3 linked regions of the Macaca fascicularis genome follow. The protein of the gene in region 1 interacts with the protein of each later gene in a pairwise test. Links are inferred from orthologs where the notes say so. Each region holds a gene or a part of one and is shown on either strand. Other genes may lie near its edges.

Region 1 (4,136 bases):
GCTTGCAGTGAACTGGAGTGTCCTCCAGCCTGGGCAACAGAGGGACACTCCGTCTGGGTGGGGTGGGGGGAGAGTTCATCAAACAGTCTAGTCAGCAATTTTCAAACTTACTCCTGATCTTAATATCTTGGAGACTTAAGGGTGGGGTGGGGAGAGAGCTGGAGAACCACCCAGCACGTTAGGTGGATTCTTAAGATAAGGCATATTTAGGCGGGGCGTGGTGGCTCACGCTTGTAATCCCAGCACTTGGGGAGGCTGAGGCGGGCGGATCACTTAAGGTCAGGAGCTTGAGAACAGCCTGGCCAACATGGTGAAACCCCGTCTCTACGAAAAATACAAAAAATTAGCTGGGCGTGGTGGCGTGCGCCTGTAATCTCAGCTACTCAGGAGGCTGAGACAGGAGAATCTCTTGAACCCGGGAGGCGGAGGTTATAGTGAGCCGAGATCGTGCCACCGCACTCCAGCCTGGCAGCAACAAGAGCGAGACTCCGTATCAGGAAAAAAAAAAAAAAGCAAGTTTGGGAAACATCAGCCTAGCTTATGTATAAAGGTAGCAATAGTTTCCTTGGCTGGACTAAAATATCTCCTCAACTTATAGCTAAATATCTCAAGTTGGTCACTTGGAAACCACGTTCCTATTCTGAGTTAAAGATGCATTTTTGGGTTCAAACAACTTCCGCATCAGTCTTGGTGGCCCCCATTCTATGACTCAAAGAATGACAGGTCGAAGTCCCAACCCAGATGCCTGGACCACCTCTTGGAGACTGACTCCAGCCCCATACCTGTAGGTGACGATGCAAGAGGTGGGCTGTAATCGGGGAGCAGTAGAGGGGCCGGGCCCAGGTGCTAGACAGGCCCACGGTGTGGTCCGAGTGCATGTGAGACAAGAAGAAGAGCCGTGCGGTGCCAGCCCGACGCAGGCTCCAGAAGTCCACTGCAATGGGCGTGTGGGGGATCAGGACCCCATTCATGGTGGCAGGGTTGTAGTCACCAGTGGGATCTTCTCCGCGGGGGCAGGGCTCCTGCGTGAGGCTTCCACAACGGCGCCCCGATAAAAGTCATGCTGGGGCAAGAACAGGGCCAGATACCCTAAGGGAAAGAGCCCAGCAGAGGAATAAGTCACTAGAGTGGGCAGAAAAAGGAAGTGACCGTGCCGGCGCAAGCCCAAATAGCGGAGGGCGCTTGACACTCCCAACCGCGCGGGAGCTGAGGCCAAGCCGGGCACTCAAAGCGCGCGCTGCTGGGAGGAGACAGGCCGAAGTAGCCGATTTCCGATTGCCCGCCGCAGCTCCACCAGAGGGAGCCGCGCGACTGCGCCTGGAGGGTGAGAGGTTGAGGGAAGGGCATCCTAAGGTCGGAGTCGGGACCAAGCTCAGCCCTCGCTCGCTGGGAGACCGGCAGCGCGCTTCTGTTTGGTCTCCTGACAAGGGGGCGGGACTTCCGCAGAAAGGAAGATTGGGCCTATCTGCGATGAGAACGGCTTGAAGGCGCAGGAAAAGCTGGAACTGGAGAGGGAGGGGTCTGCGGTCAGTCGGACGCGGCGCTGGAAATCCGGCGGAGGGCCTAGTGTTAGCGGGAGCGATCTGTGGGCGGGGCGAACGGCCTGCCGGGCGAGGGTAGGGCCTGAAGAGCCCAGGGTGGGGCTCGCGGGGTCGCGGAGGGCGTGGAAGTGTGTCAGGGCCAGCGTGCCGGCCCTACGGAAGCCGAGCCTGAGGCGAGATTTCGTCTTTAGTATTTTCACTGACTCATATTTCCTTTACTCAGGCTCCCACATCAAGACGAGAAGGAGCCCACGAGTTACCGTGGGAGCTGTGGGAGCTGCCCTGTGACTGTTAGGAAGATGCCGTACCTTGGCTCCGAGGACGTGGTGAAGGAGCTGAAGAAGGCTTTGTGTAATCCTCACATTCAAGCTGATAGGCTGCGCTACCGGAATGTCATCCAGCGAGTGATTAGGTATCACCTAACTCCCGTCGCGTGCTGTTTGCTCCCTTTGCAATCCCCATCAGGGCTCACTAGCCCCAGTCTCTCTGAAAGGGTAAATTAGCTTTCACACGTGGCAATTATATGGTTCGGTCTTCGTCCTGCTGCTTTGGAGTACTATCTCAGTCTCTCCTCTGCAGCATCTTTTACTTACCTGGGTAGTTTCCTCCATATCACAGGCTTGAACAATTACTGCTAACTCCTGGATCTATAATATAGCTAGTACAGACTTCTTTTTTTTAGCTTCAGACCCACGTATCCCACTGCCTGCTTGGCATTTCCACTTGCATGGTTTATCAAAAGTATGTCCGAAATAGCACGGACATTCTTCCGTCTTCCTCAAACCTGTTCTTCGGCTTACATTTGTGTTGATGAATGCCACCAGCAGTGACTATGCGTGGGAGCCAACCTTGAGGACACCCGATCCCCACTTCTCATGTCAGATGGTTTGAATTCATAATTCTAAATATCCACCCTCTCTTGTTTATTGGCGTTGTTGCTCTGGTCCAGGCCTTCATCACCAAAGCAATTGCAGCAGCTTACTAGTAGGCCACCTTGCCTCATTTGAGACAGAATTTTCCCATTATACAAATCTGAACATATAACTCTTGCCTACAGCTATGGTTCACAAACTTTACGGTGCACAAAAATCCCTGGGGGTGCTTTTTGTCATCCAGTCCAGGGATTGATTCTGATTTCAGTAAGGTAGGAGGGAACCCAGGAATCTGTATTTTTAATAAACATCTCAGCTGATTCCAGTAGGCGACCAGTTTGAGAAACAATGAAGTCCAAACTTACCACAGCACCCAAGGAACAAGCTGTTAATTCAACTACCTACAGACTCAAAAAAATGTATGCCACTCCTGCTCATGTCTACATACCTCATACCTTCTGTTACATCGATTACATCTGCCTAGTGAGCTCTTGCTCATTCTGGTAAAGTGTTACTTCCTCTGTGAAGAAACATTTTCTGACTTCCTGCCGGTGTTAGACCTCTGAATCCCCTCTGCGCCTTGTACAATACTTCTATTTAAATACTTATCAATCATACCATAATTAACGGTATTTTTATCTGGCTCATTAATAGATCTGAAGTTCCTAGAGGTCTGAGACCACGCCTTCTTCAAGATTATGTCCCAAGAGCATGTCCCTGGATGTAAAAGTTGAATTTCACCAAAGTACTAGGGATTCAATAAGTGTCTGTTGAGGCTGGGCATGGTGGCTCACGCCTGTAATCCCAGCACTTTGGGAGGCCAAGACGGGTGCATCACCTGCAGTCAGGAGTTCGAGACCAGCCTGGTCAACATGGCAAAACCCCGTCTCTACTAAAAATACAAAAATTTAGCCAAGCATGGTGGCACGCACCTGTGGTCCCGGCTACTCAGGAGGCTGAGGCAGGAGAATCACTTGAACCTGGGAGGCGGAAGTTGTAATGAGCCGAGATTGTGCCACTGCACTCTAGCCTGGGTAACAGAGCAAGACTCCATCTCAAAAATAATAATAAGTGTTTGTTGAATGAATAGAAGAAGAATGTTTATTGCAGACCTACGGTATGAAGTACTGTGTGATATAATAGACAAGGTAATCCTGGCTGCTACCCTCTTAAGAGATCACAAGCTAGTTGGGTAACCAGGAGATATGTAAGTAAAACTCCCTCCATTGTTAGTTGGGGATTTTGCATTTTACTTCTTTCTGTCATGTGCGTTGGTTTCAGGTACATGACTCAGGGTTTGGACATGTCTGGTGTTTTTATGGAAATGGTGAAGGCCAGTGCCACTGTAGATATTGTCCAGAAGAAGTTGGTTTATCTGTACATGTGCACATATGCTCCCCTGAAACCAGATCTGGCTCTCCTGGCCATCAATACGCTGTGCAAAGACTGCTCAGACCCCAATCCAATGGTGCGAGGGCTGGCGTTACGGAGCATGTGTAGCCTCAGGTGAGTACCGTCTTCTCTGTCTGGTCCTAAATGGCTGATGACTTCAAGAGATCACGCAGTAGGTTTTTAAAGAGGATAATTTATTTGAGCTCCTTAATACTGGGGAAAACATTATTGTACCCTGAACTTAGATTTTCAGCCACTGCTTTGGCTTAATAACCTGTATCATATAATTTTATTACAGGGAGTTTTTGATTCTCACTCTAAGTAAAATAGT
Region 2 (4,145 bases), on another chromosome or scaffold:
GGCTGGAAAGCAACGGGTGAAGACCTGGGTCAGGGAGCACCTAGCCTTTTCCTTTCCTAGCCGCCCCACTCGGAACAAAGGCCTCAGTCCTCCCCCCGGTCCCCTTCAGTTCTTGAGTGTCTCTCTCCAGGACCTAAAAAATCCAGAGCCCAGACCCTCTTCCCCAGGGATTCCAGGCGCCCTGTCTGTCCGCCCTCTTTCTAGATGGAAACGTTTCCCTTTCTGCTTCAAAAACTCTGCAATCAGGCGCGGTGGCTCATGCCTGTAATCCCAGTGCTTTGGGAGGCCGAGGCGGGAGGATCGCTTGAGGCCAGGAATTCGAGACCAGCCTGGCCAACATGTGGGACTCTCTGGTAGAGTCTCCGTCTCCACAAAAAATAAAATTTAGCCGGGCCATGGTGGCGTGCGCCGGTAGCCCCAGCTACCCGGAAGGCTGCGGCGGTAGGATCGCTTGAGCCCAGGAGTTGCAGGCTGCAGTGGGCAGTGATCACACCACCGCACTCCAGCCCAGGCGACAGAGCAAGACACTCTCTCAAAAATAAATAAATAAAAATAAAACCTCAGAAATCTGGCTTCCAGTCCCTCCTCCCTCGGACGCATTGTTATTTTTATCCTTCCCCTTCCCCCTTCCACATCACAAACCGAGCAAAAAGCCGACCCACGGGATGAGCGCAGTCGGTGGCGGTGGGTCAGCAACTGAGAAGCCCGACCCCTCGGCCGCAGCGGACGGAGGCCGAAGAGGCCAGGGCGCGGTGATTTAAAGATGCCGGGACGCGTCCCAGTAGCTTTAACCTGACGTCACTCCCTCTTCCAAGGGGGTGTGTCTTGGAAGCGCTACCGCAGAGACCTAGCCCTTCGCAGCGCCTGCGCAGAACGGCCGAAGTGCTCACGCCCCTGTTCGGCGGCCTCGGGGCCTCGAACAATGAAGGAGTCAACGCGCCTGCGCGCCACGAGCACCTACCCAGACTTGCGCAAAAAGCTTCGGTACCTACGCCGCGGGAGGGTAAACGTCATCATAACGCACCATAGTGCAGAGAAGGACCCCTCCCGTTATTTTGAGGACCGGACTGGTGCGACTATACTACTGCCGGATGCCAAATCCGGGATCTCGGCTCCGAGAGGCTCATCTGGCAAAAAGGCGCGGAAACCACGGGGGCCCTGAGACTGAGTGGGCTATCCCACTTCTCTCTGGGTGGCGGGGCTGTAGCTAGCGACTGACAGGCGCAGCGAAAGGCAGCCCTCTGCTGTACGGAGGAAAACTGAGGCCTGGGAGCAGGAACCTGTAGGCAGCGCTTGAGGGTAGCGGGATAGCAGCTGCTAGTGCGCGTGGGAGGCGGGGGCTCTGGGCGGAACAAAAATCACAGGATGTCAGAGGATGTTTCCCGGGAAGAACTGGAATAAAGGGTGGGTATCACTACCTGCTCCAAGACACTTGAGACTGGGATGACGCTGGTGTCAAAGATCAAGACTCCCACGCTGAGTTCAGGGAGTTAGTTTGATGCAGCAGGTCATAGGTCACACCAGTGAAAAGACTCTTGAGTCCCAAACCCAGGAAGTCTTTTGGGAGGTTTGAAGCTTCTCTTAGCAAGAACTCCATCAATTAGAGTTCAAGGAGATAGTATGTCGTAAGGGTCAAAAGCAGGCAAGGAGAGCCTATGGCGATGTCAAAGGTCATAGACTTAGGGTGCCCTCTAAGACTGGTAACAGATGAACAGCTTCACTCATGCACGCTCCTCTCCTGACTAGAAGGGTCCCAGCACCATGGAGGACCCGAACTCTGAAGAGAACATGAAGCAGCAGGATTCACCCAAGGAGAGAAGTCCCCAGAGCCCAGGAGGCAACATCTGTGAGTACACATGGCTGGCTGGCTAGAGGAGGGCGGGGTGCAGGAGCTGATGCTAAGAAGATCTCTGTGGCACTTCAGTGTCCAAGGCGCCACAGAGTTTTGCCTGTTGAGAAGGGGCTGTAATGGTCCCTGAGCTGCCCTAGCAGGAAGTGCATCTCCTCACACCGGCTTATGTGGCCAGAGTACTCACCCTCCTCTGGCCACATAAGCAGGATTGCAACGCTTATGCATTCAGAGGGATAGGGTGGCTTCCAAGAGAGGCTTGGGTTGGAGACGTGGCTGGGAATGGTTCTATTGGGAGAAAAGCCCCAAGATTCTGGTCCCACCTGTGTCCTAGACTTTCAGTGTAACTTGAGCCTTGGCTTCCCTGACTGTCAAAAGAGGGTGGCACTATCCACCTCACAGGGTGGTTATGGGATTAACTGCAGCAAAGGGGAAAGCCAGGGGTTAATGATGGTAGCCAGTTTGCCATGTAATAGCAACACCTCCTGCTGCTTTATTATGAGCTAGGTGTATTTATTCTCATATTATGAACGATTTTAACATTCATTATCTCATTCAGTCCTTCTAATAATAGGCCCTTTAAACTGGGAACTGAGGCAGAGAGAGGTATTTGTAACAAGAGCTGTAGTCTCAATGCCCTTGAGCCTGAGATTACCGGAAACACACGTGCAGTTGAACACGTTGGGTTTATTTCTCGCTGCAATGAAGAACACACACCATGGGGGAACTGTGGGGTGTCTCACTAAGAGTGGTAAAAACGACATAGGATTTGGGCTTGTGGGTGGTGATTTTGGGGAATGTGCGAGCAAAATTGTTTTGCTGTGGATTGGATGCTACCAGGAAGCAGGGGCAATTCTATGATTGGCTATCGTAATAAATCTTATCCAGAAGGAGGAAGGAAGAAGGCAAGGCTCAAGCTCTGACTGATAAAGTAGCAGCAGACATTCACATGAGCCAGGATAGGAGGATGTTTGGTCATTTTTCTGCTTGGACAGCATTCATATTTTGTCTGTGCTCAGACATTATTATGATGTAGTCTTGTCTTGATTCATTCTAGTCACAGCATGACCTTGTCTGTCCTTGATATTTTGTGAAAAATTATGTTCAACAGAACACCAAGGTCTAGCTGTGAGTACCAGGCCATATCCTGGATGTCGGGCTGGATTTCTCTGTTATCATTAGTCATAATTGCAAATGACTGTACAGCAATTCATTTATTCCTTCCAACAGTCCTATGGAGTAGATACTGTTATTAGCCCATTTTCCAGATAAGGAAACTGGTGTAATTGCCTAGGAAGTGGTGGAGCTGAGATTCAATCCCAGGCAGTCTGGCTCCAAAGGCTGTGCTGTAATCACCATACCCCTCTGTTGGGCAGGCTGACTCTCTGGGTTCCAACCCTGACTCCACCATTTCCTTTCCTAGCCTCATTGACTATGGGCAACTTGCCTAACCTCTTTGAATCTCAGTTTGCTCATCCATAAAATAGGTCCAAGAACAGTTCTCCTGTTTGGTTGTCCAGCATTAGCATAGAACCGAGCACATAGCACACTCAATGTTAATTGTTGGTATGATTCTGGGGTTCAGGAGAGGTCCTGGAGACTCCTGCCGGCCTCCCCTGACCTCTCCGCACATCTCTCAGGCCACCTGGGGGCCCCGAAGTGCACCCGCTGCCTCATCACCTTCGCAGATTCCAAGTTCCAGGAGCGTCACATGAAGCGGGAGCACCCAGCGGACTTCGTGGCCCAGAAGCTGCAGGGGGTCCTCTTCATCTGCTTCACCTGCGCCCGCTCCTTCCCCTCCTCCAAAGCCTTAATCACCCACCAGCGCAGCCACGGTCCAGCCGCCAAGCCCACCCCACTGGTTGCAACCACTACTGCCCAGCCCACCTTCCCTTGTCCTGACTGTGGCAAGACCTTTGGGCAGGCTGCTTCTCTGAGGCGGCACCGCCAGATGCATGAGGCCCGTGCCCCTCCTGGCACCTTCGCCTGTACAGAGTGCGGTCAGGACTTTGCTCAGGAAGCAGGGCTGCATCAACACTACATTCGGCATGCCCGAGGGGAGCTCTGAGTGCAGCTTAAGCGTCTCCGTGGTGACAGGTGGCTCTGTGGCCAGTAGGACTCACCCATGATACGGGGTGCAGGAATTCCGGGGGCCCTGAGGGATTTGCTTCCCTCCCCTGGGAAGGCAGAGGGCTCCTAATAAAGAGGACCCAGAAGATTCTCATTTAGAGCTTCAGTCTTTGGAGGACACAGGGCCTTCGTGAGACAGTGAAATCAGACAATAACGAGATCTTTC
Region 3 (3,628 bases), on another chromosome or scaffold:
GGAATTCTGGGGAGGGAGTGTCTGTCGTGCCGCTGCTTGCTTATGGAGACCCTAAGCGTGTCCATCCACTGGGCTCACCCCAAAACCGGCGTCGAAACCAGTGTTGCCCCACTTTGTGACAAGTGGGCATGCAGCTCTAGGTGTCCCTCAGGGGCCAGTGCCCTGGGCCACCATCGACAGTTGTGACACATGACTTAGGCGGTAGATGCCCCTGAAGGAACGGCTGTGTGAGGGCGCTCTCGCCATTCTAATAGAGCTCCTCACAGCTTTGGGGCCAAGGCAGTACCAGCCATTTATCCTCACCATTCAGCGGGTCAGAGGGCCCCGGGCTCCCAGGCCACTCCCGTGGCTGTGGTTGGTGCATGTACGTTGTGGCTTCAGTGGTCTCGGGGACATGCCCTGGGGTGGGGGCTGCAGCAGGTGTGGGGATGGGGCATGGCAGGCCCCGAGGTTGGGAAAGGCTGTTCTTCAGACCTTGGGTTCTTGTTGGCACTAGAGTCTGTCCTGTGCAGAGGCAGTTGTGGATGATGGCTGTCGCCTGCCGTGCCTGGGCACTGGCCCTGGGCGGGGCACAGGATGTGGGAGGTGTCACGACAGCCCTGTGAGGAAGGCAGGCGCACATGAGAGACGGGGCGGCCCCCGCCAGGCGGCGGGTGTGCAGTGAGGATGGCCCACCCCACGCACGCAGAGCGTCAGAAAGAGGAAAGAAACACAAAACGCAGCTGACAGTTAAAGACGGGTTTTCTGTTTTGTTTTGTTTTTTTTTTTGAGACAGAGTCTTGTTCTGTCTCCCAGGCTGGAGTGCAGTGGCGCGATCTCAGCTCACTGCAAGCTCCGCCTCCCGGGTTCACGCCATTCTCCTGCCTCAGCCTCCCGAGTAGCTGGGACTACAGGCGCCCGCCACCGCGCCCGGCTAGTTTTTTGTATTTTTAGTAGAGACGGGATTTCACCGTGTTCGCCAGGATGGTCTCGATCTCCTGACCTCGTGATCCGCCCGCCTCGGCCTCCCAAAGTGCTGGGATTACAGGCGTGAGCCACCGCGTCCGGCCCAAGACAGGTTTTCTTTAGTTAAAACCTGAGAGGCGCCCCCAGCCGATTGTGGTCAGAAGCCCCTTCTCTTACAGACTAAGCGTGTGTTGGTTTTGGGGTGAGGGCTCGTCAGGAGCTCGGAACGTGTGTGTGGAGAAGTTCGTGGCCGGGCTGGAAGGACGGCAGGTTATCCTGGGACATCTTTCCAGCCCGGAGGTGGGTTCTCTCGAAGCTGGCGTCTTCCCGGCCGGAGGAGGGTTGTCTCGGGCTGGCATGTCTCTGGTCGGGGAGGAGTTTGGAGTGTTTCTGGTTGGAGATGTTATTTGTAGTTTATGGTTGTGCTGACTTTAGCCATTAGGCTGATGCCTTTTGGATTTAGGCGGTTTTTGGTTAAGGTGAACTTTAGAATGAGGGGCTTGTCCAAGACGGTGATGCTCCTGCTCTGTCACAGAGGAGGGCCAGCGCGAGGTGGCAGGCGGGTGCCCTGGGCTCCTGCGGGAAGATGGCAGCTGCAGGGGTCAGTTTATCCAGCCACTGACTCAGCTTGCGGCTGCCACCCTGGGCCCAGGGACAGCCAGGGGCGTCGTCTGCGAATCACAGGGCCAGCCTGCCAGGGTGGCGAGTGGATTCATCTGTGACTGAGGCTCTCCAAGGGTTCTCAGAGGCGCGGCTGTCAGCATGAGCCCTGAAAGGATGCCTCGGCTCCAGGTGCAGGCTCAGGAGGCTCTGGGGCCGGAAGATTTAAGGACAGAAGTCCCAGTTCACCGTGAGAGGAACTCTCAGGGCAGGGGAGCCCGAGGTGGCTGAGACTGAGGATGGGTGGGTCCAGGCGGAGCTTTCAGGCTGTGATAAGAAGGCTGGTGTCTCCCTCCAGGCCCCGGCAGCCTCCGAGGGGTCCCTGGTGCACCTGGGGCAGGGAGAGTGGGCTGCAGGGAGGCCGCACCAGCTCAGGCACCAGGGGTTGCCAGCCCTGGGGGAGGCGAGGTGGTTGCGTGGAGAGAGACTCGCCTCTGTGGGGCATGGGTGGGGGGAGCTGAGGGTCTGCTCTGGTGTGGCCTCTGCGGGGTCCTGGAGGAAGGCGTGCCAGTGGCCGTGACAGAAGGGCCCGGGTGGCAGGAACTTGCCACCCTGGAGTGGGCCCAGTTCACCATGTTCTGCAGGGAGCAGCGGTGCCAGGCTCAGCCCTGCCCCCCACTTGCCTTTTATGTTCTGCAGCTTTTGCGGGGCCCCCAGATCCTCTGCACGGGAACAGCTTGTACCAGAAGGTTCGGGCGGCCGCGCAGGTGAGCCCAGGAGCAGTGTCGCTCTGCGGGGTGCCCTTCCTCCTGTAGAGGGCAGGACTGGGGCCAGGATGTCAGCTGGGGGGTTTGCAGTTCCCCTGCCCGGGACCCCTGCCTCTGGGGGACAGAACACAGCTGATACGAGTGGCAGGGTGAGTACAGGAGGCCCCGGCATGAGGACGCTGAGGGCCTCCGCCTCCCCATGTAGGACTTGGGGAGCACCCTGTTCTCGGACACCGTGTTGCCACTGGCTCCCTCCCAGCCTCTGGGGAACCCGCCTGCCACAGGTAGGTGACCGAGGGGACTGTGTCCAGTCCCGGCACCGGGTTTCTGCCTCCCTGAGTGTCCTCGGCGTCTGTGCCACCCATGGGCAGGGCCGACGGTGGGGGCCGACTTACCGCTGACAGAGGACCCTCTGCAGGCATGGGCTCCCAGGCCAGGCCGCACGGCACCCTCCAGGGTTTCGGCTACAGCAAGGAACATGGCCGCACGGGTGAGTGGGAAGGGCCTGCATGGGCCCCGGCATCTCAGGGTACAGGAATGAGGAGGGCGGTGGGGGCCGGACCATGCTGCCCCACCTGGTAGCTGCTGCCCCCCGTCCCCTCCCCTACACGGCCTCAGCCCTTCCTGGGGCTGTCCCTACTGCTGCCGTGGGGGTGGGGCAGGTGTGGCCAGGGCTGCTTTACGGACAGGCGAGAGAAACCAGGCCCAGCAAGAAGTCAGGGCTGGGTCCCATGGCAGGGGGAGTCCCACTCCAAGAGGGGCTGAGGGCTGTCCCCTGGCTGTAGTGTGAGTGACTCGGGCAGTCCTGTGTGGAGCTGTTACAAGCTGGGGCAGTGCCAGTGGACAACTACTCATTAGCGCCAGAAGAACCACAGGTGGCACCACGGCCTGCAGCTGGGACCCAGCCCCCGGCCCAGCTGTGCCCTGCTGCCAGGCCCCGGGCGGTGTCTCGCCGCTCACCGTTAGGCTGTGTCACACTGTCCTGCACGCAGCCCGGGGCTCCTGCTGACACTTTGGTGTGGGGGCACCTTCTACAGGGAGCTCACACGGGAAAGGCCGGCCCCTCCCCAAGCCCTGGACACACCTCCCTGAGCCAAGGCCGAGCCCAAGCCCCTTAGGACACCCTCACCCCCAGAGGACAGAGCAGAGGGACGGAGGCATAACTGCTGTGAGCTGGGTGTCTAGGCCACTGGGCGTGGGAATGCCAAAGTGGAGTCCACCGGGAGCTTCCAGAGGGCCTGGGGTCCACCTGGAGGCCTCCCTCCCTGCAGCGTGTACCCCGACCTCCCCAAGCCTGAGCAGGGAGCCCATGCGGG

The links.
Region 2: the proteins of AP4B1 (region 1) and ZNF576 interact in binary tests that used the Homo sapiens proteins (3 or more experiments, as listed by UniProt). The two-hybrid records come from large-scale screens. The link is inferred for Macaca fascicularis from reciprocal best matches to the Homo sapiens genes AP4B1 and ZNF576.
Region 3: the proteins of AP4B1 (region 1) and TEPSIN interact in binary tests that used the Homo sapiens proteins (3 or more experiments, as listed by UniProt). The link is inferred for Macaca fascicularis from reciprocal best matches to the Homo sapiens genes AP4B1 and TEPSIN.

The regions. Positions count from the first base shown.
Region 1 is NC_088375.1:120,464,782-120,468,917, forward strand, and holds the start of AP4B1 (AP-4 complex subunit beta-1), read left to right. Parts: upstream 1-1,295; 5' UTR 1,296-1,324; intron 1,325-1,457; exon of another isoform or gene 1,458-1,526; intron 1,527-1,529; exon of another isoform or gene 1,530-1,616; intron 1,617-1,764; 5' UTR 1,765-1,840; coding exon 1,841-1,953; intron 1,954-3,694; coding exon 3,695-3,919; intron 3,920-4,136. Other genes in the region: DCLRE1B (5' exonuclease Apollo), read right to left, coding at 783-971.
Region 2 is NC_088393.1:51,631,845-51,635,989, forward strand, and holds the start of ZNF576 (zinc finger protein 576), read left to right. Parts: upstream 1-1,243; 5' UTR 1,244-1,404; exon of another isoform or gene 1,405-1,749; 5' UTR 1,750-1,761; coding exon 1,762-1,846; intron 1,847-3,489; coding exon 3,490-3,917; 3' UTR 3,918-4,145. UniProt on the Homo sapiens protein: May be involved in transcriptional regulation.
Region 3 is NC_088390.1:87,656,877-87,660,504, reverse strand, and holds part of TEPSIN (AP-4 complex accessory subunit tepsin), read left to right. Parts: intron 1-2,244; coding exon 2,245-2,312; intron 2,313-2,517; coding exon 2,518-2,596; intron 2,597-2,730; coding exon 2,731-2,802; intron 2,803-3,349; coding exon 3,350-3,628. UniProt on the Homo sapiens protein: Associates with the adapter-like complex 4 (AP-4) and may therefore play a role in vesicular trafficking of proteins at the trans-Golgi network.